4 linked regions of the Lonchura striata genome follow. The protein of the gene in region 2 interacts with the protein of the main gene of each other region in a biochemical or structural test. Links are inferred from orthologs where the notes say so. Each region holds a gene or a part of one and is shown on either strand. Other genes may lie near its edges.

What was found.
Region 1: the proteins of RXRA (region 2) and TRIM24 form a complex in vitro, tested with the Homo sapiens proteins (3 studies listed by BioGRID). The link is inferred for Lonchura striata from reciprocal best matches to the Homo sapiens genes RXRA and TRIM24.
Region 3: the proteins of RXRA (region 2) and POU2F1 form a complex in vitro, tested with the Homo sapiens proteins (2 studies listed by BioGRID). The link is inferred for Lonchura striata from reciprocal best matches to the Homo sapiens genes RXRA and POU2F1.
Region 4: the proteins of RXRA (region 2) and NRIP1 form a complex in vitro, tested with the Homo sapiens proteins (2 studies listed by BioGRID). The link is inferred for Lonchura striata from reciprocal best matches to the Homo sapiens genes RXRA and NRIP1.

What each region holds. Positions count from the first base shown.
Region 1 is NC_134607.1:226,866-234,617, forward strand, and holds the start of TRIM24 (transcription intermediary factor 1-alpha), read left to right. Parts: upstream 1-4,736; coding exon 4,737-5,127; intron 5,128-7,752. UniProt on the Homo sapiens protein: Transcriptional coactivator that interacts with numerous nuclear receptors and coactivators and modulates the transcription of target genes.
Region 2 is NC_134624.1:8,182,768-8,190,204, forward strand, and holds the start of RXRA (retinoic acid receptor RXR-alpha), read left to right. Parts: upstream 1-4,436; 5' UTR 4,437-4,753; coding exon 4,754-4,781; intron 4,782-7,437. UniProt on the Homo sapiens protein: Receptor for retinoic acid that acts as a transcription factor.
Region 3 is NC_134604.1:14,930,937-14,938,470, forward strand, and holds the start of POU2F1 (POU domain, class 2, transcription factor 1), read left to right. Parts: upstream 1-4,526; 5' UTR 4,527-4,647; coding exon 4,648-4,765; intron 4,766-7,534. UniProt on the Homo sapiens protein: Transcription factor that binds to the octamer motif (5'-ATTTGCAT-3') and activates the promoters of the genes for some small nuclear RNAs (snRNA) and of genes such as those for histone H2B and immunoglobulins.
Region 4 is NC_134604.1:8,744,359-8,751,900, forward strand, and holds the start of NRIP1 (nuclear receptor-interacting protein 1), read left to right. Parts: upstream 1-4,541; 5' UTR 4,542-4,822; intron 4,823-5,021; exon of another isoform or gene 5,022-5,083; intron 5,084-5,628; exon of another isoform or gene 5,629-5,655; intron 5,656-7,542. UniProt on the Homo sapiens protein: Modulates transcriptional activation by steroid receptors such as NR3C1, NR3C2 and ESR1. Also modulates transcriptional repression by nuclear hormone receptors.

The sequences.
Region 1 (7,752 bases), on a different chromosome or scaffold from region 2:
TTTCCCTGAAAGGGAATCTAATGGGATGAACCCAAGGTAAATTTACAAAAGCAGAGTGTCTTCTCTGACTACAAAACTAGTAGGAAAGTGTGCAGAGGTGATATTATTCCATAGTTTGCAGTGGAGGTATGTTGCATGGAGAACTGGAAACATTACAAGGCAGCTGGCCCACTCCAGGGTGCTGGACCCAGCCTTATCTGTGGTGAGCTTCCAGCTGAAACTGGTCAAGCAAATCTCAGTTGTGAAAGTCTCAGTTTTTATTTGCCAGGCACTGGAGAAATATTTTACTGGGGTAAAGAGCATAAATAATAGGACACAAAAGAGGTTTCCAAGAAACCATCCTCCAATCTGGAAGAAAAGTTTTATGTGTGTCTGTATATGTTAGGTGAGTGAAGTATAGAAAACCGAAAGTTGAAAATCCTAGGTAATTTTTCTCACTCTCTCCTCACTGAAAGAAAAAGTAAGTGTAGCTTGATGGGTTCTTGATTGTGGAATTCCAAAAGGCAGCCTACAGATCTAAGCTATATTCTAGATCAATTCCTAATTCAACCTTCACAGTTTGGGCAGCACTATGCTCATTCATTGCCTGTTCCAGATGCTTTAGTATGTAAAATTCTCCTACTTTACTGTTGCTGGAAAGGTTAATATATTACATTTCCCTAACCATTAATGCATTCCTAATGCATTCATCTTACTTCTAGTGAACATATTTTATATTTTACAGATTTTGAAAACCAACTACACATTAAGATGTCCATTTCTTAAAAGAACACAGGCCAGTAAAGGCTATATATTCTGGGACACATCCTCCCAGTGACTGCTTCGTGTTGCTGTAATACAGTCTGGCCAGAAAGCTGCCAGGTCTATTTCTTGGATGACTACTGTGTCAAAAACATGTTTTAATGACACAGATGGAGTGCTGACTCTCCTCCCCACTTCCTTCACTCTTGCCACATAAAGGTTAAACTGGGCTGGCACACTGCAAAGCCCCATGGTTTTATTTTAGTCTGTAAAAAAACTTTGGAAAGAGACTGTTTAGTGTCACATGGCTGTTTTAAGAGGAGGAAATGCACATGCTGATGTTGATGGTAATCTGGAAAGATTTGCATCTGTTGCATTTGCAAGACCAAGTGACTGCTAGACAATCTAGAATTACAAGAAAGAGACAAACTGAACCAGGGACAAAAGGAGGAAATCAGAGCCAGCAAGTAAATTCTAAGTGAAAGGAACTTCTAGTTATGAGAACTCCATTGAGAAGTTCTTCAGTGCAGCTGGCAGTCATTTCTTTCTGCAGCTGAAGTTTCTGAATGATAACTTTTTGTGGAGGATATCACAGGAGTATAGATTACAAATGGCAAAGATCTAGATTGCAGCCACAAAGTGTGTGTCTGAACAGAAGGCAAAATGCTTATGGAATTTGCTTTAAATGGGATGTCCAGAAGAAGCAGAGGAGGTACTAAAACAAATTGTAAACAAAAGTAATGAGTAGCATAGAAAGGGAAGAGAGAAGCAGCCTCAGCTTCTGGATGTTTCCTAGCTAGTCATCTTGATTTCCAGCTATCAGCTTGTCACCATCGTCATTCTTTCTTCATTGGTTTGACTCATTCCAGTGGAACAATGGAGAGCCCAACAAGTCACTAGACAAAACCATCAGCTGTTTTCACACAAAAATGAGTACAGCATGTATTGCCCTGTGTGGGTTTGTCTACATGCCCTTTTCCAACAGCCCCAAGCCAGCTCTGCCTGTGATCCCTGGTAGCCAGGTATGGTGTAGCTGTGGCCAAAAGCTGTGCACCCAGGTCGGTATAACGGGATGCCACTTCTTTCCCCTATCCTTGTCACACTTTGCCTGAACAATGTGGTTACATTTAAAAGTTTTTTTCCTCCCTCCCTTGTCTACATGTACTGAATGGTTGGTTTTCTCAGGATGTTTTTTTTTTTCTGTTCCTCCATGCCCGTTTTGTTTCTATCCCAAGTACTCCTAATATGATGCCATAACTAACAGGAAGGCTCTACATTCAAATTTAAATAATGCAAGTCCAAACTTTCATTTTAAATCAGATGCTGTTCTGATGCCATGCAACTACAGATTTTACAGCACAGTTTGAGCAAGCTTTGCAAACATCCTAAGCAAACAAACTTTGCAGGAAACATAATCCTATTATTTTACTAATCTTTGGGACACTGCCTCATGGGGATCATCATTTTCAACACAGCCTCTACTCAGTTCTTTTACAGGGTAATCTTTGTACCATTATACAGTATTGCTATTTTCCTGTGCTGACATCTGTTAGAGAAATAGTTCATACTAGTTAAAGAAACTACCTAGTTTGATGATCTTACGACTTGCTATTACTCCTCACAAATGTACTATTTACTGATTTTCTGATCATGTTTGCTCTCAATACTAATCAACCATTCTTCAATTATTGCCTATTCCTCAATAGACCTTTTCTAATGGCATTTTTGGTAATTTTCATCTTGCAGAGCCTGTACCATCCTCCTTAACTTTAATTCCAGAATCTATTTCATCATTCACACTTGGCATGCTCTCAGCCTGCAAGGTCCTGCCACAATGGATTGTTAGCACATTGTCATATGGTGTTGAATAACCAAATCGGTGGGGGGAGGAAACTACAGGACTCTCTCCTACCACTTGATCACTCTTAGTAAAGGGACAGAGGCAGCTGGACTGGGAGGCAGAAGGTGTACTTCAGGAAGGTGCTTCTGGAGGCATTTTTTCCTTATGTGTTGGCAGGTCAGGGGTTGGGAATGTAATGGCTTGTCCCCTCCACTGATATTCTTAATCAGAGAATGACATTTCCCTCTTAACATTTCCTCATTGTAATGCCAAATCCGTTCCTCCTCCCCAGTACAACCTGTAGTATTGTTCTCCTGTTACCATGATAAATTATGCGTGTGAGACACGCTGAATCATGATGCTGCTCCTGTACACAGTTCCTTGTGCTGAAGAAATGAGTATTTTATCATGTATGGCTTTTTTTATGGTCCTATTTATTACGGGACCTTTGTTAGGGTCTTAAAGAAATTGCAAGGAAGTGGGAAGTATTCTAGCTGCTCTGGGAATTTAAGCACAGACATCTGGAATATTCTGAGGAGCCTGAATCTGGTTTATGGTCGATGTAGCAACCAACATGCTAGATCTAGCTTTGTGTCTGCATGCATACTTCATAGAAGCTCACAGAATCACAGAAGTGTTTGGGTTAGAAGAGACCTTAACTATTATCTGCTTCCACCCCACTTTACCATGGGCTGGTCACCTTCCACTACACCAGGTTGCTCAAAGTCCTGTCCTGATAGATAACACAGAGAAGACAAATTTTAAGTTCCCCTGAAGTTGCTGAATAGATCAGCTAACAAAAAATGATAAAAGAATGTGAAAGTGTGCACACAGGATGATAAATGGGCTCGAACCAGTAGATAAACTGATAATGAGGAATATAGTGGCTTCTTGGGCCAAGTTATCTCAAAAGAAGCAGCAGTACATGCCCTAAGAGAAGTTCAAGGAAAGGTCATCTGTAATATTGGGGGCACTTGGTGAGTACAAAGACCCCTTCAGACTACCCTTTAGGGACATTAAAAGGCTTTGAGTAGGAGAGAAGAAGGCAGATGCATGCAAACTAGTTCTGTGAAAAGTGATGTTTATGTATTAGCCAGAAGTACACTGTAATCAGTATGTATGATCATGATGGAATAAATAACTTGTACCTTCTGGAAGCACATCAGATTAACAGAGCTATCGTTCTGATGTGTCCAGCACGGTAATAAAGAGTGTCTGTTGTCTGATACTTAAAATTGTGTTAGAAAGTTTGTTGTCTGATTTCAGTATGGGACCAACATTGCCTCGAACGTTTCCAGGGTTGGGACATCCACAATTCTCTGGGTAACCTTCTCCAATGTCTCACCAGCACAATACTTAAGGCCTTTGATTCAATACAATGTTCTGTCTAAACAAGAATTGTACTTTTCTGTTGTATCTTTTTAATTGTACCAATCACCAAATAGCTTCAGTCAGGTAATGTGGTGGTATTGCTGTGATCGGCCAAGCCAAATACAGGCCAAGACTCACAGCCTCTCACCTGCACGTAGGGCAGGGAGAAGGGTGACCTCTTTTAATGTGTTGTCCAAGGGACAAAGACGTCTCACCGAATCACAGAATGAGTCAGGTTGGAAGGGACCACAGTGGGTCATCTGGGCCGACATCCCTTCTCAAGCAGGGTCATTCTAGAGCACATGGCACAGGACCGTATCCAAACAGTTCTTAAGCATCTCCAGCGAGGGAGACTCCACACCCTTTCTGTGCAACCCGAGGGTTCAGAGCACGGTCACCCACACAGTGAAGAAGTTTTTCCTCAAATTCAAGAGGAACTTCCCAGCCTTCCTCTCACCCGGACAGAGCCAGGTACCGCCCAGGTGAGAGAGAGCGGCCGCGGGTGCCGAGGAGAGGGCGGGGCTCCCGGGACGAGGTGGGCGGGGCAGCGTTCGCCGCACGTAGCGGGGCGGGGCGGAGCGGGGCGGGGCGGGTCGGGGCGGGCTGCGGGCGGGGCGGGGCAGTCCGGGGCGGGGCGGAGCGGGAGCGTCCGTCCGTTGGCGGCGCGCGGGCGTCCGTTGGCGGCGCGGCGGGGCAGGCGCCGGTAGGCGGCGGCGGCGCGGGCGGGAAGCGGCGGGGCTGCTCCGCCTCTCTTCGCCTCTCCGGCGGCGACCGGCGCAGGACAATGGAAGAGGCGGCGCGGGCGTTAGCAGCTGCGGTAGCGGTGGCGGCGGGGGGGCCGTGCCCGGCGGACAGACCGGGGGCAGCAGCGGCGCTGAGCGGGGAGAACGAGGCCGAGAGCCGGCAGGGCCCGGCGGAGCGCGGCGGGGACGCGGCGCCGCTCAACCTGTTGGACACTTGCGGCGTGTGCGGGCAGTCCATCCAGAGCCGGCGGCCGAAGCTGCTGCCGTGCCTGCACTCGGTGTGCCAGCGCTGCCTGCCGCCGCCGGACCGGTACCTGATGCTGCCCCCCGTCCTGACCCCCGCGGCTGCCGCCGCCCTCAAGGAGCCGCCGCCGGCGGCGCCTCCCTCCTCGCCCGTCTCTTCGCAAGCCTCACCGATGCACTGCACGCCCAGTAAGTGACCCTTCTCCCTCTCTGCCCGTACCCCCTTGCCGCTGCCCGGGGTGCTGCCCGCTCCAGCCCGGAGGCCCGTGTGGGGACGGGAGCTGTCGGGACCGGGTGCCGTGGGCGGGGTGCGGGTGTCCGGCCGCGGAGCTGCCGGGATAGGAGATGCTCGCCAGCGCCAAGGCTGGCGGCGGGGTTGTGCTGTGGCTCGGTTTGTTTTAATCGCTGTTTTTTAAATTTCCCACCTTGGGAGGGAAGGCAGAACTCCCGTGCTTTCTCAGGACCGGGGCGTTGAGAGCCGGGCTCCCGCTGCGGGCGGTGGGCGCGGGCCGGGCGGCTGCTCTCGGGGAGCCGGCAGGCTCTGGCCCCTGGCCGGCAAAGAAGCCGAGCACCGGCTGATCTGATGACAAGGCACAGGAACGTAGCGGCAGGACAGGCTCTTCCTGAGGGGAGTCCTGCAGGTGTCATCCGCCGGCCTGGGCGGGGACCGGGGCGGCCGAACAATAACAACACTTGTTGGGGCCGTGGGCAGCCCGGGCGGCTCTGCTGATGCGCTTATGCGCCATTTACTTGCTAATTACCGCGAGGAAGTTTTGTTACGCTCGTGTGCCGACACAGTAGCCTCTGTCAATATGATTGAAAAGTACATGTCGCTGTAGAAGGTGTGGAATAAACTCCTTCCGTTTAAAGCTACTTTCCTAATGTTTTTGATTTTTTTTCCCCCCTAGCCCTCCTAGGCTGGGTGTAATGGATCGCTTAGTTTTGTTAAAGGCAATTTCGTCCTGTTGTGGAAGCTGGTGAAGGTCTTGGAAAAACTTGTTTAGGAAAGAGGAAGTGTGATGGAAATTGAGCTAATCGATAGGTATTAGTGGAGGTTGTACTTGTTGGAATATGTAGTGAGAGATCAGGTGAAAAGTAGTAGCTCCAGGTTGACATTCTTATGTTCTTTAAGTGGAGTTAGGAATACTTCTTCATCCTGCCAGAGTTCTGACCAAAGATTACCACTCGAATATGTAAAGTGTTTGCAGAAATTCTTAAAGGAAACGCCTTCTTCAGAGAAAGAAATACTTGGAACAGCTAGAGATTTGCTTCAGAACATCTGAGGAGCTCCCAAGTATGTTAACAGGATATGCTGAACCTCTTCATCTATGCGAGTGTCTGTGTTAGTATATTCATTCAGTCTTTAATTTTAGCATGTAAAGTATGTCGTAGTCAGACTGCCTAATCAAGTTACAGAGTGGGAAAATCTGTGAGACCCAAAGCCCGTATACTTATACTTGATTGATTCAAGACATGTTACTGCTCATATGTCTATAAGTGGGAGGGAGATTCTGGGAGGAACAGAAAAAGCACAAACTCTGGAGTTTAATGAGGTATTTCAGGTGAGATACTTGGAAATAGGAAAGAGGGTATAGATACAAGCTCAGGAGTTTGCAAGGTAGTGTAAGAAGCAATATTATCATTGTCTTCTGAGATTTGAGGTCATGAACAATACAGGTCCATTCCCAGATGTTCTTTATAAATATAGCAGAAATAGGGATCTGTAGCTGAATGAGAAATGAGATGCATCATAAGAATTAAAACATCAGTGCTGTTCAAACATCTGCTTGATAATGAATCACAGCAACAGTGAGCTTGTAGCTCTGCTCCCTCCTTTTGATTACGAGTTGGTTCTTTATATTAATGATTTCACAGTACATACTCCTCCTTCTAAAGATTTGCAGACATACTGTACTTTTGGTGACAATTATTTTTACCCTTTTGACTTTTCTCCCAAGCTACTTTCATGCTTCCATACTAGAGTTCATTGTGCAGTTGGAAGAAGAAACTTACACTCACCCTGAGTATTTTTTGTATCTTTACTGGTCATGTGTTTGACTTGGTTAAAATGACAGGGACTGTGTATTAGCTAGCTATGGCCAAACTGAAGTGCATTGTCTACTATCCATTTTCCAACTGGTACAAAAAATACCAAAAAACTGTGAATTTGAAGTTAGGTTTGGGAAAAACTCACTTGCTATGGATCCAAAACTGATAATATAGAGGAAATCTGTTACAGCTGGAGGAGTTATTGAATTTTCACAAGAAGGTAAGAAAGACCAAAGTGGTGCAAAACTGTCACCTCTTCTGGTAATATGTTGTGCAAAATGCTTATGTGAATGACACAAAGAAATGAAGGAAGAGCATAATCTTAGAAAGCTGGATAACAAATGACTCTTCTCATGTAAATTATGGAATTACTGTGACTAAACTGAAGAAATAAGCATCAAGGAATCTGTTGCTGGAAGGAATGTCCTAAGTAAGGAATGCAATAGAACTGCAAATGAAAATGTCCTGAGCAGTGATAAGCAGACAGGGTGCTTATGGGCCCGTGCTGGGTGCTTGAGTTTCACAAAAAGAAGCCTGAAGAAAGACTGGTAGAATGGAGTCTGTCTTGAACAAAAGAGAGGATGTGATTTGAAAAATGCTTCACCAAACCAGCCTTGTGTGTTGTATGAGTACTGAAATTGGCTGAGAAACAGGTAGCTGGAGAGGTTGAGCTTCAAATATAATCTGGAGAGACTTTTTTTCTTCATCAAACTGTTTCCAAGAAGAAACATTTGTTCACTTTATTAAAATAAATTGCGCCTTCAA
Region 2 (7,437 bases):
TTCTCCAGCAGTTCAAATAAACCACTTGACAAACTCACTTGATAAACAAACACCAGCAGCCTGGCAAATGCTGCTGGGAAACAAAACCAGGCAGTGTGAGTCTGCAGCAGTGACACAAGTGGCCTGTCCTGGAGCTCTGCTGCTCTGTGTGTCCCCGAGGAGCAGAAACCCCCCGAGCAGCTGCAGGGGTTTGGGTGTGCCTGAGGGATGCTGAGAGTCCTGCAAGGCTCTGGTCAGGCACCATCTCCACTTTCAGGCTCCAGAGTCTCTGACCTGCCCCCCAAAGTCTTCTTGTGTCTTTCTCTCCTTCCTAGAGGGAAGAAAAGCAGGTTGTGAGCTCCTCTTTCCCCCTGAGAGCATGAGGTGGGTGCTGTCCTGAAGACCCACAGACCGAGGCAGGAATTTGCACAGAGGAGAGACTTTTCTCCTGCAGTTCTGCTGGGAGACACAGGGAACACAGATCCTGGTGCTGGAACCTGCAGTGACTTTGGCAGAGCAGGTGACTGGGGGTGAAGACAAGCCTGGGAAGGTCCCCCAAAGCCTGCATCAGTGGAGGGTGTCTTTCCTTGGCTGGGTTTGGCTCTCAGATCTCTGGAGTCCCACGCTGCCTGCTCAGGGAGGGACCCGGTGGCCACAAGCCCCAGGCCAGTAGCCACAGCCACCCTTCCTCCCACATCACAGCACCTCTGGCCACCTGCCACAGCCTCCATGGGTATTGTAAATGCAGGCAAACCCAATGGGAAGAAATGCTGATGTCTGACTCAATTCAGAAGGCTGAATGATTTCTTTATTATAATTATGCTAAAATACATCAATATATTATATAAAAGGAGGATAATAAAACTACATACTACTTTCTCTGATTCTATCTCTAACTTATACTTAACTCGTGACCCTCTCTGAGAGCCCAGCCCCAGGTGGGTTGGATTGGCCACAAGGCTCAAACAATCCTCACCAGAATCCATCCCAGCACTCACCCCAGGGAAACAATTCTCCAAACACATTCCACATGGAAAAGCAAGGAGCAGAAATAGAAATTGTTTTCTCTTTCATTTCTCTCTGTGCACCTCTATGAAAAATCCTGAGAGGGACAGAAATGTGCTTGCCACACATGTGCATCTAGAGATGGAACCCAGACACAACCCATGAGCTTCTATTATTTCTCAGTCAGATTTTGCATTTATTCTTTCTTTAATTTGTAACAAAATGCAGCCAGGCAGGAAAATAGATTTAATTTTTTTTCCTAACTGTGCAGGAGGGCATAAAACAGTAGGGGAAGCACAGCAGGTTTTGCTTTTGTCTCCCATCAGATAATTCAGGGTTATGGACAAGAAAAACTGGAACCACTTAGAAAAAAAATCCTAGAGGCTGTGATTTCCAAATTCACTCACTGGGCCCAAGTGCCCAGTTCTGAGTGTGGCCCCAGCTCCCAAAACCTCTCAGTGCTGAGGTCCACGTGCACCTGGTTCCCTTTGCCCCAAAGGGATGGTAATGGGGTGGGAGTGTGGATGGAAGGAGAAGCTGCTAATTGATTTATCTGACGAACACAGCATCCCTCCCTGCCAAATTCAGCCAGGACTGAGAGCTGAGGCCAGGCACCCCTAAATGATCCCCTTGGATCAGCCTGCCTTCCTCAGGAGCCCAGGCTGAAGGGCGTTGGCATCACCCATGGGTGCCGAGGACAGGAGCAGCAGTTTGCCAAGCCAGCTCTCCCAGCCAGCACAGGACCTTCCAGCATCCCTGCACCAACCAGATGTACAAGGCAACGAGCTGCCAAAATTATCCGAATGTGCTCCCCCATGATGATTGAAGTCCTTCCTGGGAAGTGTGAGGCTGAAGGTGAGCACAGTATTAGGCAGCTTATTAAATTAATAGTGCATTAAAGAACTCATGGGAGGTGGAAGGGAGGGGAAAGGGAAAGAGAAGGTTTGTAACATCACAGAAATATCCTGGCTTACCTTCTGGCATCTTCAAGAGACTGGAAATGTGGGACTGCATCCAGCTGCCTTCTCTGGGGCAAAATTCCTTCGGCTTCTGTGGGAGGTTTTACTCAAATAAGGATTGCAGGATCAGACCTGTTATTGTCACTGCAATTAACATTTAGATCCACATCTAACATGAACTGTTACAGCCTGGTTAGGGAGAAATTTAATTTGCTCTAAACAGCTTGATGGGAGAGGAGCATGAAATGTCCTGGTTATGGTAATTTCATGTGTTGGGAGTCTGCAAAGGTGGATTTGCAGCCCTGGCTCTCGTAACCCTGGGATCTGCTGCAGCCAGGGAGATGAGTCTGCTTTGGGATGGGACTTTGGGGTGAGATCCCCACCCCTGTGTTGGTGATGGACACACTCAAAGCCCCAAAGGCCTTGGGCACCCAGCGGGGTGGGGACAGGCAGGTGAGAGCCCAGCTCTGCCCCGAGCTGTGCTTGCCCTTATCGGAGAGATGAGCTTTAGTTTGTCTATTAGGAAACTGATTTCTACCTTTGAGCTGTCAGTCTGTACACAGATATCCATGAAATCCACGATTTTTGTACTCTTAGAGACTTTGAACCCAACTTTCTTTTATTTCCTTACGTATTTCCTTTTTTCCTCTTTTTTTTTCCCAGGAGTGGATGTAACTCACTCTTAAAAAACTGACTTGGAGATGAAACTTGGCATTTAAGGTCCCGGCCCGGGAGCAAATGAAGTTACCAGTTATAAACACACACCAAAATCTGTTTGGACATGCTGGAATTACAGGAGCAGAGGATTAAAAGGATCCGAGACGCTTTATTTAGTTTTAACTTCTGCAGCTCCACCTGAGTGTCAGTTTGCAGCCGCTTGCCTGACACAAGACGGATCCTTTTTGGTGTTTTTGCTCTTCAGGTGGATTGCAGTGGGTTTGGAATTTTTATTCTAAAGCAGATGGACTGGTGAAGAGGTCCCAGATTGGGATCCTGAGGTGCTGCCAGCTGTGTACCCCTCATCCAACCATCCCCACGTGGCTCTGCCCTGCAGGAAGGGCAGGGTTTTGTGTTCTCCTACAACAGAAGAGTTGTAGGAGAAATCCAGGTGTTGGGGGCCTTTCCAGAGCCTCTCCTGTGTGGCTGGAGACCCCACAGGGACAGGCAGGAGATGGAGCGATGAGGGCCCGCAGGGATACGGTGGGTGGCAGATAAGAGGCCTCACTTTTCCAGGAGGAGCTGCTCGCTTGCTAATATTTCTGGCACGAGACACTTGGCCAATTAAAGAATAAATCAGGGCAGATAAGGCTGCGGAGCAGCGTTCCACGGACCTGCCACACAGGGAGGTGATGGCAGAGCTTCTGGGACATCCCTGATTGTCCCAGCTACCCCACTGCAGGAGAGCTGGGAGCTATCTGTGCCAGCAGAACCCCCCCAGCAGCTGTCCCTGGTGTCACCCCAGCCTGCCTGGTGTCACCCCAGCCTCGCCGAGTGCCCAGCCTTGCTCCCCAGCGTGTGTGAGCAGCTGCAGCGTGGCCCCAGCCTGTTTGTTATGCATGTTACGGCCGTGGAAAGCGAGGGTCGATAGGATGTTTAATATGCTTCATGCATAGCGGAGTCGCTCTGGTCCATCAAGCCACTAATACACATTCTTACAGGGCTGAGTATCATTTATTAAACCTGGAGGCCTGCCTGGGAAGGGGGGCCGGGGCTCTGGGAAGCAGCCAGCGGTGCTGCTGGGGTGGCACCGGCGGTGCCCAGGAGGTGAGAGTTTGCACAGGAGCCGCACACACACACACACACACACACACACACACACACACACACACACGAGTTATTTGTTGTGCCTCACGGATGGGAAATGGAATAAATCGCGCTCTGAGCGCTGCCCGCCCTGTGACACACCCCGGGGAAGGGCAGCGGGCTCGGGGGCTCGCTGGATGCTCGGGGCTGGGCACAGCTGGCATTGCTCAGCATCTCTCCAGAACCCCCTCTGCTCCCCTCCCGAGGCTGCCACTGCAGCGCTACGCACATCTTATTATTTTTTTCTCTTTCCCCCTTCTTTTCCCTCTTTTCTCCTCTCCTTTTCCTTCTTTCCCCTCTCTTTTCCTTTTATCTTTCCTTCTCTTTCCCCCCTCTCCTTTCCTTCTCCCGTTTTCCTCTCCTTCCCCCTCTCCCCATTCTCATCTCCCCCCTTTTCCCCATCTCTATTTACCCCTTCTCGCCACCTCTTTTTCCCCTCTTGTTTTTTCCCCTCCTCCCTTTTCTTTTTCCTTCCCCCCCTCTATTTCCCCCCATTTTCCCCCATCACTTTAAGAAAAAAAAAACCAAAAAAACCCACCAAAAAAATCCTAAAAAAAGAAAAACCCATCAAGCCAGCAGCGCGGCGGGCCGGCGGGGCGGGCGCGGGGCGGCGCTGCTCGGCTCGGCCGGGCTCGGCTCGGCTCGGCTCGGCTCGGCTCGGCTCGGGGCGGGCGCGGCGCCGCCGCTCCCCCTGCGCGGGCCCCGGCGCGGAGCCGGGCGCGCCCGGCGGAGCCGAGCGGCGGAGTTGCGTTCTCGGGAGTTTGCCACAACTCCGCGGCCTCGGCTGCGGAGCTGCAGCTTCCCCGCTGCCTCCTCCTCCTCCTCCTCCTCCTCCCTTCCTCACTCCTCCTCCTCCTCCTCCTCCTCCCCGTGGGTGTTTTTTTTTTTTTCCTCTCTCCCCTCCTCCCCTCTCCCCCCGCGCTGATTTCCCTCCCCTCCGCCCGCCCTGCCTGTGTGTTTTCGCCGCCGCGCTCGCCGAGCCCCTTGGCATGAGTTAAGCACCAGCCATGGACACCAAACACTTCCTGCCGCTGGGTGAGTTCTGTTCCGAGAGATTCTCCCTTCCTACCGCGGGGGGTGGCGGGTGCTTCGGGACGATAAAATCACCGCCTGTCCTGCCGCTTCCCCCCGCACCCACCCCCGGCTCCGCTGCCCCTTCCAGCGGCGCGCACCGGGGGCCGGCGGGCGGGGGATGCGCTCGCCCCTTCCCCGGGGAGCGCCGCGGCGAGCGCGGGCCGGCCCCGGCCCCCGGCCCCTGCCTTGGAGTTGGTATTTTTGTTTTGGTTTGCTGTTGTTTTTTCTGCTGTTGTTGTTTTTTTTTTTTGGTTTTTTTTTTTTGCCGTAGCGCAGCCCCGGGGATGGCGGGCCCCGGCCGGGAAGCCGAGCCGGGCCGAGCCGGGCCGGGCCGGTCGGGCAGCGGCCCCAGCAGCGGCGCTTTGAACGGGGCAGCGGCAGCCGGCAGAGCCCCCTCCCCGCCCGGGGCCGGCTCTGCTTCGGGCTCGGCAGCGCTTCCCCCTCTTGCCTTTCCTCTCGGTTTATTTTTATGCTCTAATTTTTGACTTTTCTCCGTTTTTTTTATTTTTTTCCTCTCCCCGCCGCATCCGGGGCGCGCAGCCGGGCAGGGGGAGGCAGCGCCCGGCCCCTCCGCTCGCATCTCCGGCTCCCTGACCCGCCGCGGTTGGGACCCTCCTGCCTTTTTGTTTAAATTTTTTTCCCCCCCTCCCCTCCCTCTCCTCCTTTTAGCTGCGTTTAAAACCCTATTTCCAGCCGGAGTTTGCCATCGTTTCGGTGACTGAGTCAAGTCCTGGCTTGTAAGGGCGAATGCCTCCTGCGTCTCGCTTCCAGGAGAAGTGATATTGCAGAGCTCAGTGCTCGGGGTGGGGGGAAGAAAAGTTTGAGCGAAGTCGCCTGGCGCCAAGTCCGGGCGAGGAGGAAGAGGGGCGAGCGCTGCCATCCCTGTCCCCGCTCAGCCCGCTGGCTCCCAGCCTCCGGCCGAGCGAGCACAGCCAGCGAGACCGTCCCCTCTGCCTTCTCCGGGCTTCAAATCTCTGCCGCTGCTCTGTTTTGATTCTTTCTTCCTCTTGGTTTTTTTGTTTTTTTCATTCAGTTTTTTTTTTTGGTTTTTTTTTTTTTTTTTGCTTGTGTTGTTGACAAATCGCAATTTCAGTCGTTCCTTAAAAAGAGCAGAATAAATACAAACATCACAATGTTTCCTGCAATCCCAGCCCGCTGAGAGGCTTTTTCCAGGGCTGTGGTGGTCTGGGGGCTTTGGCAGGAGAGACCCTGGCCATGTGGGCTGGCAGAGCTCTAGGTGGCATCTCCGTGCCCCCAAAAATCTCAGTTTCAGAGTGCCCCTTGTTGTCTGGGCTGGGAGATGCTGCTGGGGCCAAAAGCATCTCACCTGCAGTGTGTCCCTGGTTCCAAATCAAACCAGCTCCTCTTGGTTGTGTCCAGTGCGGTTGTTGGGGCTCATCCCAGCAGAAGGAGCCTCTCTTATTCACTGGAGTGCTTTAACCTTCGGGGTGGCTGTTTGGGGGATTCACGTTTCCTTGGATGTTGTTGTGGAAGACAATCCAAATCTGGGTTGATCCGGGCGGGTTCAGGCCTCTGTGTATGTTAGCTGTGTTTTCTATCGGTCCTGAACTCTCCTGTTGTGCTGTAAAGACTAAAAAATACATTGTGTTATTAGTCAGGTTGGTTTGAGGGGGTAGGAGGGGAAGAGTCTGTGACTGCTGGCTCCGGGAAGGGTTTTCACGCTGCTGCAAGTGGAAAACAACTGATTTATCTGCTCATTTAGAAATGTGTGCGTGGTGGGGCTGCGCCACACACTGTGCAGCACACCAGGAGCATCCCCAGGAAAAACAGGGCAGCCCCCCAGGACCTGCTGGGGGAGGCTAAAACATCTCCTCCTTGTCTGAGGAGAAAATTCTGTCTGTCTGTCTGTGGGGGCTGTTTGGGGTGTGTGGTCTGGGATTGTGCTGCTGGAGGAGAGACTCCCAAACTTTATGTGCTGGTCTTTGGTTATTGATTATTGGGAAAAATCCCTTTGGCTGCAAGGGGAGTGGTTGCTGCAGATGTTGGAGAGGGAGATCTTGGTCCTGCTCTGGGCAGTGCAGGCAGGTTGTGTCTAAAAGCTCGGGAGCAGTTTGTGGGATTGAGGGGAATGTGAGCTGAGACTGTCCCAGTGAAACCAGAGCTGGATGAGCCATGGGGACTCTTTAGAGGCAGGATGGTCCAAACCCCACCAGGTCCCAACTTTGCAGGGTCCCAGGGTGTGTTTCACTAACCCAATCTCATGCCATTTTTGGGAGCTGGTGCTGGAAATACCCAGGGGAGAAAACCAGCCCAGCTTGTGGGATTTGTTTCCCTGCATACCAGTACAGGCCTGAGCTGGGGAACAGCAGCAACACGGCCAAAATTCTACCCCATTACTGTGTCCCCATCAAAATCTAAGCTCAGTTTGGCCCAACAAGGCCAACCTGGTGGTTCCTGGCCAAGTCCTGCCCGTGGTTAGACTTAGATAAGGCTGCTGATGTCATGGCTGGAAGTGTGGCCAGCACTGGGCACTTTTAATAGTAGTATCTCATTTTCCTGCTTCTCTGGAGAGCTGCTGGCAGATGCCAGCCAGAGGCTCCCCATGAGGACAGCATGTCCCCGGGCATTTCCCAGGCTGGCTGCTGTCACCCTCTGC
Region 3 (7,534 bases), on a different chromosome or scaffold from region 2:
ATAATATTTACTTAGACAACAAGAATTGACTGCACTGGATTTGTAGCCTTTGTTATTGAAAAGAAAACTTTGAACAGGATGGAAGAAAAACTTATGTAAATATCATATGGGTGCTTTCTTATGTGCTATGGGTTGAAGGCATTAAGGGGAGGGCAAAGTGTTCAGATGATACACCTGAGTGGCACAATTAGCTGTGAGTTTCAAATAAGTCTATTTGCTTGTGGAAGTTATAATTCTGTATTTTTTGAATAAGGGTATTTATTTTATTTTCTCTCATCATATCACTGCCCCCCTTTTTCTTTCCCTCCTTGTGTGATGGTATTGTAAATTTGTTATGAACACAGTTTTATTTCTCTGAAAAAAAGACTTAATCCATGGTAGTTTCTACCTTCTGTGGACAAGAATAAGTTGCATTAAAAACCAAACCCATAAACAAACCCTTTTATATTAATGTATCAGGTGCTAACAAGTATCCGCTGTCCTGCACTGATAAGATACATTAGCATTCCTGCTTAGCTCTCCACATGCTTAATTTCCTTCCAAAATGTACACAAAGGAATTTTGAAAGGCATTTTGTGTCATTGAAAGTTTTAAAGGATAGTTATGATTTGAGTTTGTGAGAAGTAAAATTAGATGTAGATTAAAATTCCAATTCATAGCAATTGCCTAATGACCAGTAAGTCTAAACCAGGCCAATTTTATTTGACTTTTCCAGACAACTGCTCTTTTTGGCTTTCAGAGCTAACTCACCAATTTTCAGATAAAATCAATTCTGTTAGCCACAGTCAAAGGTGGTGGCTAAAATTAGTTAGCTTGCAGCCCTAGCTATGAACAGACTGCTGTCTGTCCATAATTACTCTAAGAGGATTGTGCCAACTTTAATAACAGTTTATTTTGTTGAAGTGTGTGATTTTTACAATTTTTTAAATAACACATTGGAGTTCTGTTTTTTGAAATTTTTGTTAGGTTTTGTTTGGGTGGTTGGAGACTTGGAAATATGTAGTACCTTCAAGGTAGAATGTCCTAGGCATTGATACACTAATGAAGGCAGCATGCTAATGTTTCAGCTAATGCTGTATTTCCTTTCCCTGTATTTTGTATTCCATTTGTATGTATTCCTTTGCACTCTACTCCAAGTACACTGTTTAAAAGGGAAATAATGAGTTGGCTTATTGGGTAATCACCAAGTGTGGCCCTGAAGTTTGCAAAGGTCATGCTTGTCACTGAGCTGGATAGGGCAGAAATTTCTTAGCTGTCATGGAGGCCATGTAGTAAATGACATTTTAGTAATATATGGAAACACATCCATATAAAAAAAACCAAGAGTTGCATAGTCTACAGGTAAAAATGATGTTCCCTTTCCAAAAACAGTGGTATTAAGGAACCAGGTACTGTCATTATAACTGAATAAAGAAAGTGATATATTCATGGGGCAGACTGCAAAAGAAGACATTCATTTGAAGTGGTATGGTGTGGAAAATACATAGAAAGTGACAAAAAGAAGTGAATGGGGTAGAAAGAGTCTCCTGAAATGTTATCTGCAGGTTCCAAAGTGTCTGGCGAAAGAAAATCTGCTTTTGTCATACCTGGCTCCATGATAGTTCCTTTGATTTTAAGGAAGAGTTTGAATAAGAATGGGGGGGGGGGGCAGAGGGGGGAGGAAATAATTATGTAAAAACTGCAGAATTGGCTGAAGAGGAGAAACGAGAGACACATTTTTTGAGATATCTGTAGTTTTATGGGATATTTCAAGCTTTTTACTTATCACAAGGTGCAGCATTTTCTCTTCTGAGAGGTGTCTTTGGAGGAAAAATGAAACTGTGAACAAAGCCCAGAGTGCTGTTTTGCTTAAACATGAGTACTAGAAGTATGTCCTTGGATCAGGGTGTTAAGTAACTTTTAATGACTAGCCATAAAGAAAAGAATGTGCAGTGTTGTGGCAGAACCTAAAGAGAACATTAAACGAATGTGTATTCCACCACTGGTTTTGGAGCAGAGTGATAGTCACCATTCTTCTCCAGACATTTTCCATTTTCCTATTTTACTGCAGCAGAGATTAAAAGATTGACAATGGTAAATTTAAACAAACAAACAAACAACAACAAAAAAAAACAACAGAGCCAAACAAAAAGTGGCTGCCCCATCCCTAGAAGTGTTCATAGCCAGGCTGGATGGGGCTTTGAGCAACCTGGTCTAGTGAAAGTTGTCCCTGACCAGAGTAGGGAGCTGGACCTGTGTGATCATTAAAGTCCCTTCCAACTCAAACCATTCTATGATTCTATGAGCTTAGATAAAAGATAAGATAATAAAATTGCCAAAGAATGAAGAACTCACTGAAAGAACAATTTGGTTTGGATTTTTTGTGGTGTTTGGTTTTGGTTGGTTTGGGGAGCGTTTTTCTTTGGTTGGGTTTTTGTTGGCCAGTTGTTAATTTGACAGGTCAACACATAATTTTTTAGTTCAATTAGGCTGTTAGTGGATGTTGCAGCTCCAGTGGGGGTTTGTGTGGGGGTTGGTGTTTGTGAGGCAGATCAGCCATGGCCACGCAGTGCGCGATGCTAACGGTCAGGTCACTTCCTGCCCCCTGGGGCTGCACCTGTGTTCCACCAGCCCAGCGCCCTCGGTCTGAGGAGAGCACTGCTGTCCTGCTCTGCTGCTGCCTCAGCTCAGCCCCTTGCTTTCTCAAGTGCTTGGTTTGTTCCACCAGTGCTGTCCAGGCTCTTCCGATAAAGCAAACGGATTATCTCCCAGTGCATTCCAAAAGTATGTATGCAGGAGTGAAGTTTACTGAAGGTCTGCGAACCATGAATGTGTGCCTCAGAGGTCTCAGTGGGACATATGAGTGAGTGGAAAACCAGGTTGGAAACAAGGTATTAGGAAAACCTATTCAGCACGTGCAGTTGTCTCCTTGTAGTAGGGAGCACCTTCTCCCTCTCTTGCAATCTTTTTCAAGTGTAGATCACTTATGTTAAATATATAGCTGGGAACATCTTGTGTTAAGTAGAGATATGAACCTGAACAGAAGAAGAGGTCAAGCGTGGAAATAAATTCCAGTCAGTACTGGATGATTGAGAAGTCCCTTTTCTCTCACTCCCTCTTGTTTGTAGAGGTGGTGCTTGAATTCACTTGAGAAATGAGGAGAAGAAAAGTACAGCTATGGTATTTTTAAAGGAAAAACAACTTACTCTTTAAATTCACATTAGCACCTGGAAGTGGGTGGCTCAACCCTGTAATCATCTGCATCATCACACTACTTTTTCCTGACCAGATTATGGAGTAATAAATTTTGTGATTGTCGCATCATGCTTGAATTTTTATACAAATGTTCTTGCTGTTTAGGACACAAGTTTTTGAGTGGCCAACAAACTATCTGAAATGGTTTAATAGAACATCATAGTTAGCCCACTTACTTCTCTGGACCACTTTTGGAAAAGAAGATTGATTTCTCCATAGACCAAAGCCTCTTCTCAGTTCTCCAGTGCTCCAGTGTACTTTTGTGGTCACAGCAGCAGGCACGTTCTGGTTATCACCAAGTGGTTCAAAGATGCAGCGTGGGTGTGACGTGCCCCTTTGAAAAACCATAGCTCTGCAAATAAGCTTTCTTTAGCCATATTGTGTGCATGCTTGAAGGGATTAGTAATAGATTTTTGGTTTTTTTCTTGGAAGTCACTGGAAAGCAAAAGACTAAATCTATTTTGATTTCACTCGGGATAGATTAATGGGTGTCAAATGTTACACAATACTTGACATATCCACTGCTGCTAAGTTGGCCGTGGCAAAGGGATTACCCGATAATGAATCACCAAGCTCTTTAGCCGTTTAAAGGGAATCGTGCCACTTCCTTGCCCTGGCAGGACTCTCTTCCCTGCCTGGGACCTTGCTGAGACAGTGCGTGTTCGCATGTGGAAAACTCCACGCAGATGCGCAAGCACCGGCTTGACAGCTTTGTGTTCAGCTTCTACCTTGCTAATTGTTTTCGTGGGATTATTTGGATTGTGTGGAAAGCTTTTTCCAAATCCCCTTTATTACTGATGTTATTGTTGCCAGCAGGAATAAGATTAAAGGTGCTTAAGTCTGTAGAGTTGTTTCTAATTTGTACGTGTCATTTCAGTGGCATTTGAACAGAACTCTGTCTCTTCCCCTCCCTGATCCCCTGTGGTACTGTGCTTGAGTTAGGGCTGAGAAGCCAAGCTATTGGAAGAAAATTCATTTTGTTCCCTAATTATTATGCTGGCACTCGGGAGATAATTTTTCCCTTCATGCACTGCCAATTAATATGCAAATGAGCTGATAAATATTTATACCGTGATTTAAATTATGCAGGGAGCGCTTTCAGTGTACTCTGCAAATGAATTGTTCATGGACTTCAAAGTGCTGGCTGCTGTGCTAACGAGAGGAGATTTGCATAAGGCCCTAATCAGGCGCATACTGATTAAGCTTCATTATGGAAACTGCCAGCTGCAATCTTTGTTTCTATTTTATTACAAAAAGGGGAACTTTTCACGCTTCAGTCGCCTTGACAATGTCAGACACAGCTAGTAGGAGAGACTAAAACTCCACACAGCAACTGAAGTTTCCCTGTTCGGTTGAAGATTGCTATGGTGTAACTGAAGTTGTATTTCTCCCCCCACCTCCCCACTCCCTTTCATGTTCAGTCAGAGCAGTAGTGTAGATTTGATAGAAATTGCCATTCTCCCGTTCCTTGGACTATCTGAACCTGTAGAGGATACCACAGCAATGCTGGACTGCAGCGACTACGTTCTAGGTGGGTACCAGCTCAGCTCTTTCTTATGGTCACCGAGGCTGGGAGATTGACTATGCATAGTGGCTTAATCACATATGCAGAAGGTATTTGTGGGGCTGAAGCTCACCAGTGAATCGGCAGCAAATAGCTGCCTGCTAGGTGGATAGCTCGATCTGTACCAGGGAAATACATGCTTTGGTTTGTTTGTTTGTTTTCCCTCTTTTCCCTTGCTCCAGGAGAATTCGTTTCCTCTACACAGGCTTGGGTGATATTAATTCAGACCTTTTGCTTTTAGGATTTCAGTCTGAGAAGCATTTGCCTTCTAACAAACACTGGGCTTGACTTGCATATCTGTGTGTTATGCATTTTAAGGCATTAAAATGAATGAGAGGGAGCATAAGTGTTGAAAGAATTTAGTAACTGTATTGAACCATTCCACAACAGAATGTATGTTATGTGTGTGTATTTTTAATATAGCAAGGTTCTTCGTGTGTAATAGAAAATAAGGGGGAGTGCACAGTGGTTGCCATTGATACGGTTGCAAGCTGTGCTTAAGGTTACTGGGATAATATATTTCCTGCGCTGAGATTCCATCAGGACTGCGGAACAGACATGCCATAATTCCTTCTTTTTGTCTTTTAAAGTTATTTATAGTAATGGATCATCTCAATTTTACAATAGGTTTTATTTCTTTTCAAGGCTTTTCCCCCCAAAAGCTCAATGTATATATATATATTTTTTTTATTAGTATTATTTTCATTCCAATCATATAAGTTCATATAAGAACATATATCTCTAAGTAAAAGGATATTTTTTTTAATGCTAAATTTTAAAGCAGACGTTTGAGTATGTTTGTTTCTGAATATGATGTGGTTTTTGAAAATTAATTTCTAAATAATTCTTGTCATGTTTTCACTCACATTAAACTTTGTTTCTCCCGTGCATATAAATGAATAATTTTTGCTGGTGCACATGGAATATTAGGCAGTTCCGCTTTTACTTTGGGTGAAAGAAAACAGTTAATGTTATATAACATGTTAAGATTTTTCTTTGCTTTGCCAGCTGTGTGCAGTCATTATAACACTTCAGGCTGGTCCGGTGTCCACTGCTGAATGCCTTTGGAAATATTCCTGAGGGTGTGTGAAAGGCTGGCACAGCACTGCCTGGCGACACCTCAGCCCTGCTAGCAGAGTAGCAGCATGGAATGTATTCACTCCTGAGAGTTTGATTTCAATCATGCACCTGCTGCTTTCGATCCTTCCTTCTGGGGAGTTTGTTTTTAGATAATGTTGGCAGAAGTTGTAGCCCAGGGCCTTTATTTAAAACCCAAGGAAGATCTAAAGGAAGAAAAAAAGGTGAAGGCATTAAGGCTTGGGGTTTTTTAAGCCCACTTCATTTGTTTATTCTTTTAAGTTTGAAGCAGAAATTGCATGAGCACATACAAACCAAGCAGCCTTTTTATTCGACATAGAATGAATCAGTAGGTTGAGTATCCCGCGGATATGAGCCTGTTTTGCTGGTAGCAGTTTTGTGCTTCAGATGGATGTCATACCATTTGCAATGGAAATAGCTGTATTGTTCTTGATGCTTTACATGCAGAAGGCTCACAGATTGAACAAGAAATAGTCAGCTGGTGAAATAATGGATGCTATCCTTCGCTTGAACCTGAGCACTACCAGAAAGATGTTTCTTCTTCTAACTTGCTGCTTTTTTCAATAGCAATGTTTGAGGTCTTTGTTAAGGATGGACCTTTACAATAAAATATTCTTCATTTAGACAGGCTTTTGGTAGTTAAGTAAACTTTGTGTATGTCTAGTACTAAAAAACCTATTCTGGAAGGATATTTTGCAGCATAGCCTGACAGAAAAACGTGTCCTGGCTTGCTTTTTGGAAAGAGGTCTGTACAGTTATAACTTCGTGTGACTGAGCAAACTTGCTCATCATGTAGGAAGGCTTCTTGTGTGAGCTTCCTCATAGGACAGAACAGTGACTGCCCTGCTTGAGTTCTGGGCACAGGACAGCTGTGTCCCCCCTCTGGGTTTAGTTTGCTTTGCTTATTCTATCATTAGTAGCCTGCACCTTGGCTCTAATACTTCAATTCCTGCAACAGACGTGGTTCAGCAAATGGATTCCATCTTTCTGAGAGACAACTTTCTCAACCTGTGCTCTTCCCTTTTGTGGTCAGTTGTATCTTGAGTTCAAGCTATTCTTCTGCTCTGGGCTTAAAATTACATCCTGTGTCCAGTAGCCTTATGAGTTAGCCTGGTTTCCACAACAAAATGTATTTGACTTGTAAGAACTCTTTGCTCATTTTCCTGTTGGATGAGGGAGGACTCTTCATATTTGTGTCCAAAGCAAAGGACTCCCATTCGGTCTTCCCTAAAGTGAAATTTCAGTAGTCATCTGTGTGTAAAGGAATGAATGAATACTGCTTATCAAAAGCATGTTGCCTATAATCACTGTAAGCATCAAACCACATTTTGTTGCCTCAAATCATTCTAGGTGTGCTGTTGCCACAACAATAAACTCAATTTGAGATATATGCAATGTCTAGATAGAAATATGGATCTCTCAGCAGAGAGGGCTAAATCAAGAGCAGACATTTCTGTATAGTCAGTAGAACCCATGTTCTGTTTCTAGAGTGTGAAACATGCCATCCATATGTGGAAAATGACAAAATAAGGAGCTTGGAAGCTATAGGTTCTGTACTTGTAACCTTAGCAGAATTCTTGTTTTTCAAGACTGAATTTGTAGCTTGAATGTGCTAAGCAGAGGTTGTGAAAAACGGCG
Region 4 (7,542 bases), on a different chromosome or scaffold from region 2:
GGCATGATTCTTCAGTCCTCTTTCAATCTCTTGCTGCTGACATGGGGAATTCAGCTTTGTCAGAGAAAAATTCTGAAAGGAAAATGAGTGTTCTGAACAGCTCCAGCTGCATGCCTATAACCTTCTCAGACATTATCTTTGCATACCCCCAAGTAGGAGCAGTGCTTGTGCAGTGCAGTACCTGCTCTGCTGCTGCTTTCTCCTGCCAGTTGATGAGCAGGGACTCCAGCATGGTTATTTTCTGGATGTGCTTTCACACTACCAGGAACGTGACTCATCAGAACAATGTTCTCAGAAATATAATCTTCATGTTTGTGCAAGTGGGATGAAATGGAAGGAAATTCAGGAGTACAGGATGCTCTCTTCTGGATAAAAAAATCCTGGTATTTTGTTCTGGTAAAATAATTAATGTAAGGTAGTCATATCAATTTAGCGCCAGCCCCTTTGACTCTTCTATAAAAGGTGTCAAGTAGTGTTTATTTCCTGCCACTAAATGTAAGACCTGAAGTGTTATTCCTCATTTAGGGTCAAAAACCTGCAGACCTCTACCCCAAAAACACACATGGCAAAGTAAGCCTCACCCTAGCTCGTGCCTCAGAACAGATACAGCGTGCTGGAGGCATGGCCAAAACTCACCAGATGCTGCAAGCATATGATTCCTCCATGAGAGTTTATATGGTACAGCTGTCTTTAAATGTTTCTGTAATTGAAAAGACTCTAGCATCTGGTCCTTTGCTTATTACTCTTAGAATAAATAGTCACGATCTGAAGTCTACTTTTAAATAATGCAAGGAAAAAAAAAGTTAATTTGAGCTACTAAGGGTACATTCCTCTCAGATGACCTGCTTGGAAGTACTTGTAAAAATGGAAGTAGACTCTGTAATTAAAAAAATGAAAAAAAAAAAAAAATAGGAAGTGGAAAACAACTCCAGTAGGGAATGATAGATGTATGCATGCAAATGCCTTCATAATTTTAAATCTAGGTAGATGAAAAAGCACTGGTGTGTAGTTTTTATAACTTTCAGCCATAGAATATCTTACTCTTCCTTTTACACATCATTGTGTCATTCAACTCTACCACCAACAGCTGCAGACTTGCTGCTGTCAGGAGGAAAACAGGAGATGTCCTGTGGTACCCCCCTGCAAGAACCCTTCCCTGGACCAGTTCTTCCCTGATAACACTTGTAAGGCTCCCACTGATTTCAGGTACTCCCAGACAGTACCCCTGAAGAACAGCAGAATTTTGCACCTTACTACTTCAGATTTATGGATGAACACTGATATATGATGATCATTAATTTAAGCAAACCTCCTTTGAAGTCTTTTATTGAATAAACAGGATTCATCATAATTCCTTTTTTCTTTTTATTTTCTATTTTTTGGTGTGTGTGTGTGTGTGTGTGTCTCCCTAAATTCTGGAATAACTAGGTGATTTAATCCTCTGTGAAGGCACCTTTGGAATGGTGGCTAATCTGACATATTACGTGAATTGAACTAGGCTGAGTCAAGGACAGAATTTCATTATTTGTCTATGTAAGGCTGACAAACTATTTTAGAGGAAGATTTAGTCTGGAAATGCATTTCTGTAAAGCTTCTCGACCACAACCTAAGCCTCTCATATCATGATTGGATGCCATAAAGCAAGGCCTTAATTATTGTGATTGAAAAAGGTAGTTTCAGAGTGGTTAGCTTTTTGAGAGGCTGAGATAACCTTAAATAAAAATCAAAATAAAAGCAACTGTAGTTCTCCCAAGCTCTTCAAAGCACCTTATGTGATTTAAAAATGAGCTAGCATTAGCTTAAAAACATTTGGGAATAATAAAATAGCATTTGCATTTACTTTTTGATGATAATATGTATCTTTTTACCATATGGCACACACCAATGTGTTTTGTTTCAGTAAGTTGAAGACAAAGTTTGCTACTGAAGATGAATCCTTGCTTATCTTTTTTAAATGTACTATTGTAATCATCAGAATTATCAAAGATAAGTTGTAGGTACATCAACATTTATTTAACCATTTTTTAAATGGTCAGACAGATTAATTTTGTTCTTCAAGAATGTTAGAATCATAGTTATATTTTGGTTTTGATAGAAGTTTTCCTAGGTCAAAAATGCATTAGGATATATTTTTTTAAATATATAAAAGAAATGGTTTGCTGATATTACCAAAGTATGACACCAATAGCTCTCCACTAAATGTTTGCTTTTCTGGGAGTGAGTTCTAATGTAAGCTCTATAATAAGTTTCTCCCTTCCAAGACTGATGTAAAGGTAGTTTATGCTTCCTTGTCACAACTGGCCTTCCATTTAACATCATCTTATAGCGATGAATTCCCTTTGAAAAAAAATTGAGCAAAGTGTCCAAAATTTTGTGATGTCTGTAGGACAGTGAAGGTATAGACACCACCCACAGATGGTGGATTGGTACAGCCATGGATGCTCACCTTTTATGTTTGGGGAGTGAGAGTGTGTTTGGGTTTGGTTGAAGAACGTTCAGAAAGGACCAACAAGTTCACATCAGTACTTTCATACTTCTTGAGAGATGGAATTTACTACGTGATGCATTTTTTTCCTTTACTTGTACAGGGTATTTATTCGGTATATTGTTTGAATTCTCATAGTTAAGTAAACATGGACTAGCGGCACAATTCATTGTGATACAACTATTAAGCAGTGGAAACAACCTACTAAATCTTTATGTTTTATTATTTAATACAGTCTCCGTTGATTGTATCTTCTGAAACTTGTGTCCTCAAGCAACTATATGTTACCAGACAACAATCATTTTAACAAATACTCCACACACACATTTTTTTTTTATGTTGCTTGTCCAAGATTCCTCATTTTGTAGGTCTCTCATCTACGCAATACATTCCCTAAGGTTAAGAATGAAAGACGTCTCTACTACAGACACTCTTGATTGAAATAGCAGATAAATTGCTGCAGTAATGAGAAAATTTCCTTTTCCCCAGATAACTCAGCTGCTTAGCATTGAAAAAAATTTGAGATGAAGATTCTTTGTGAAATAAAAAAATTAGGGATAATTTCTTTACGATCAAAATTTGCTCATGAGCCTATAATGGAAAGGAAGAGAAAACCCATTCTTTTCATGGAAGTACAAGTAGGCTATATTATGAGACTTATGCTCTTAAAAAAAGGGACTTGTATAAACACTGTGACATGCAATGGCTTTAGAAAATGCTGCTGCATGTCTGGAAGAAAGTGGTTAAAAACACATGATGAAGTTAACCTAAATCTTTCATTGGCTTAAAAAAATAGGTCAAGTAATACATTACTAGCTCCACTCTAAGCCTGTACACAATCTGTACATTCCAAAGTGAGAGGTTTTATTTAACATTCCTACATCTACTTTCATTCATGTTATCACTCAGTTAAAATACTTAGCTTTTCATAAATGTGACTCCCTTTCGCTTTCTTTAAAGTGGAAATTCCTGTGCTCTTTAATATTAGTCTCCCACTAAAAAGACGCTTGAATAGATCATTTATTTTACCTGAGTTTTAAAACTAAAAGGTGGGCATGTGTTAATGCAGTAATTACCATGCAGTTTATATGTGACTTGCAAACAAATTTGTTTCTCTTTCGTCAGTCTTTGACTTGTAGAAGTGAAGTATCATGAAGTATTCTGTAAAGCGTTTGGCAGACAGTGTGCGACACGGCGAGACGTTTGTTAAACACAGGCACACAGGAGGTGTGATGAAGGTCGCATGCACTTTGTAGCTTCGTTTGTACAGCCAAGCTCAGCCTGTATCTCTGCGTACTCTCTTTGGTGGCAGCAAAGTCTAAAGAACAACTTGACATTCCGTGCAATTTCTGACAGCAGAGCTTTGGGGGACGTCGCCTAGCAAAATATAGGGCTGACTCTTCTTGGGAAGCACTGCTCTGCTCCGGGTTGGTTTATTATTATTATTATTATTATTATTATTATTATTATTATTATTATTATTATTATTTCCCTCCTAAACTGCATTTATTTGCCACGTGGCTTTAATGAGCTGGTGTGCCCCCCCGTCCTCCTTCCCCGCGGCACAGGGAGCGCCGGGCAGGGATGCTCGCCGCTCCCGGTGCCCTGGGAGAAGGAGATGCGCCGGGAAGCGGGGCAGCGCCACCCCGGAGCAGCCGCAGGTGCCGGGGCCGCTGCCGGGAGCATCCCGGCTTTTCCTTCAAAATAGCGTAGTAACAACAACAACAATAATGATAATTATAATGATAGCACTGAACTTTCTAGCCCGTGGTTTTTTTTCGGAGGAAAGGCTGAAAACTTAAGCTGTAAACTGACAAGTACTAGTAGCACGAATAGCGCCCTCCCCCCTATTATTCCAAAGCAGCCGAAGGGGGAAAGGAAAAAGAAAAATAAAAAAAGGGAAAAAAATAAAGTGTTATTTATAAGCCACTGCCGTTTTCATCCGATACGGGTCCTCCGGTGCTGTCGCTCGTGAGTTTCCCGGAGGCTCTGCGATCTCAGTCAGGTTAATTAGAGGGGGCAGGAGGGGCTGGGATTCGCGTACGTGCGGGCGGCCGCCCTGCCCTGCCCTCGCCGCGGCGGGCGGGGCGGGGGGCGCATCCCTGCGTGCCCGCATCCCGCCCCGCCTCCTGCCGGAGGTTACCAAAGGGTTAAGAAACTTGGCTGGAGAGATGAATGGCGCGGCGCGGGGAGGGGCCGGGCTGCGCCGCGGCGGGCGAGGTGGAAGGCGGAGAGGGAGGATCGCGGCTGCGGGTTAGGCTTTGAAAGTCAGCCTCGCAGGCATTGCAGCAGAGCCCCGAGCCGCGGAGAGCAGCGCAGCGGAGCTCGGCTCGCCCCGTATGTGCGCGGGGATGCGCGGGGCGGGGGGGACGCGCGGGGCCGGGGGTGGCGGGAGGCGGCGCGTCCTGCCCTGCCCGGCCCCGTCCTGTCCTCCGGCCGCGGGGACCCGCCTGGGCACTCGGCTCCGGCAGCCGCCGCTCCCCGGGGCTCAGCGCCGGGACCGGCCGCGGCAGCAGGGCGGCGTGCGCGGCGGCTGCGGCCGGAGCGGCTCCGGGGGGCTCGGGCGGCCCGGCCGGGAGGAGCCGCGGCGGCCGCGGGGTGAGCGCGGCGCTGTTCCGCCGGGGAAATGGCCGAGCGGGGCCGGGCCGGGCCGGGGCCGCGCTACCGGGGAACAATGCCGGGGGGAGCCCGGCGCGGCGGCGGCGCCCGCGGTGCGGGCGGAAAGTTTGCCCGGCCGCGGTGGGTTTGGGGGAGCCGCCGGAACGGAAAAGTTACTATTCCGCCCCCCCACCGGGACCCGCGCCGAGCGCACGGCCGGGCCCCTTCGGCGGGGACCCGCGCCGCCCCGCCCGGTGCGAGCGGCGGGCGGGCGGGCGCTCGGAGCGCGGCTGCGGCGGGCGGGCGGGCTCGCTCCGGGGCTGCGGGCAAGGCCACGCCGCCCCGCCGCCTCCCGGCGCTGGCGCTGCCCGCCCGCCGCCACCTGCGGGCCCGCCGCCAGCCCGGGGCCGGCCCCGCGCGGCGCGGCTCCCTGCGCCCCCCAAAGATGCCTTCTCATCGCTTCGGGCTCCTTAGGGACGTCGCTGTTTCCCTTCTAGACTAAAGGTTACTTTTCCAGACGTGGTGGTTCTTTTTTTTTTTTTTTTTTGGTGTGTCCCCGAAGCCCTCTAAAGGTGAATTTTAATTTTTTTTTCTTCCTGCCACTGCCACCCTTCGTTTTTCCCTGCAGAACGTGTTGTTTGAGGCTTTTCGTTCTAAGTGTCAGCGGGTGATTAAGTTGGGAGGTAGTGAGACCTAAGGAAACGTAGTGTAGGCAAAACGGGGGCAGCGTTGTAGCGAGCAGACAGCCTTGTGTTTGTGCTGCACCTTTCTTCTTCTCTCTTGTGTATTCCTGGGGATTTACTGGGCTTTTAATTTAAAGAAGGATTCAGATAAAATAGCTTGACACATGTTGGAGGTGTTGGGAAAAAACAGCAGGATTTCTGGCTTTGGGATTATGTTGTTGTTAAGAAGGCTGAAGTGGAAGTTGTCCTCTTTTGCCTCATCTCTCTGGAATCTGGCGACTATATTATTCCTTGTTTTATTTTGAGGGGACCTGCTGCAGTGTCAGACAGCTCGCAGGCTGATTAGAATTTAACTGAGTCATGGCACTATAAATGCTCAGAGATACGGTAAAGCTTTATTTAACAAAGAGTGTGAATCCAATCTGTGAAGACCTATGGGGAGGAAGCAGTCACTTGTGGAAAGGAGGTGGTGTATTCCTGAGCGAGTAGGGAACATTTTCTTTAATACACAAATGCGATTTACTGCTTCTAGGGCTGACTGAACACATGAGAGAGTGACACATTAAGATGCCAGATGACAAAAGCTCTCTGAGCTGAGGATATCTTGTGGTTGGGATCAGATTTTAATGGTATCTGAGTAATTCTGCTCCATGGGTATCAGTAGCTAACATCTTGGAAGGCACAAGTTCTCATCGAGAACAGTGTTCAGGCAGCTTTGGGGTTTTCGCTATCTGAGGCAGCTGTTTTCCCAAACTTGTGGTAGAGAAGTTTGACTTGTTCTGTCGGTGGTCTCCTGAGATAGAGTTGACATGGACTCGGAAGGAAGACTGAGTTGATCATGAGTGAAATGCGAATGTGAGGGTGTTTGTGTTCTGTGAGTTCCATGGAGGAGGTAAGGAGTAGTGACTGCATGTTTTGGGCAGGGTGAAATCTGACCTGCTGTTAGACTGGCCTATGCTTCTGGGTTACCTAATGAGCAAGAGCTATCAATGGCTTTCAGGTTTTGTAGGCCATGCATGCACAGAATGCAACATGCAGTCAAAAGCCAAACCATGCTGGATTGAGGTTTTTGGGTTTTTTTCCCTTTTAGTCTTTTGGCAGAAAATTGCAGATGGAAAGATGCTCTTCTTCTCTGCTTCCCATGCTTGTTTCTTTTTCTAAAGTGAAAGGTGTGCTAAGCAAAATTTATTATAGTCATAAAAACTATGTTGATAAAGAAGTAAAAGTAAATAATGCTTTTATATTGTAAACTTAAAAGGGTGATCTAATCACTGGCTGTATCACCTGCAGTGTTTGATAGTTGTGTTTGGGATAAATCTGTTCTGTAAAAGGCATGAAGACATTTTTTTAAGTGATTCAGTTAATTCAAACATGAATTAACTTTATAATGCTCGTATTTGCCTGTAGTTTTGCTTATTGCAGGGATTGCTTAAAAGAATTGACAGAGTCCTGCTTGCTTAAAACTTATTTTGTCTCTTCAGAGCTAACTTTATTTTTCAGGCTTTGAGCATTGGCAGAAAGTTCATATAGTGCCAGCTTTATTATCATAAGCAGTGAGAGCACTGTTAATTCTACCAGCGACAGTGCGGGACATGACTACAATAAAAGAGAAAACCTGTTTTGCATTGAGCCCAGCACATGTATAAACTTGCCCAAGGCATTTCCCCAGGTCAGCTGTCCTGCTCTAGGGCTGTGCTAAAGACCATAAAGACCATAAGATCTTTGAATTATTATTTTAGAATAGCTCTTCAGAGCTCGCCTGTACTTCAAACCCCA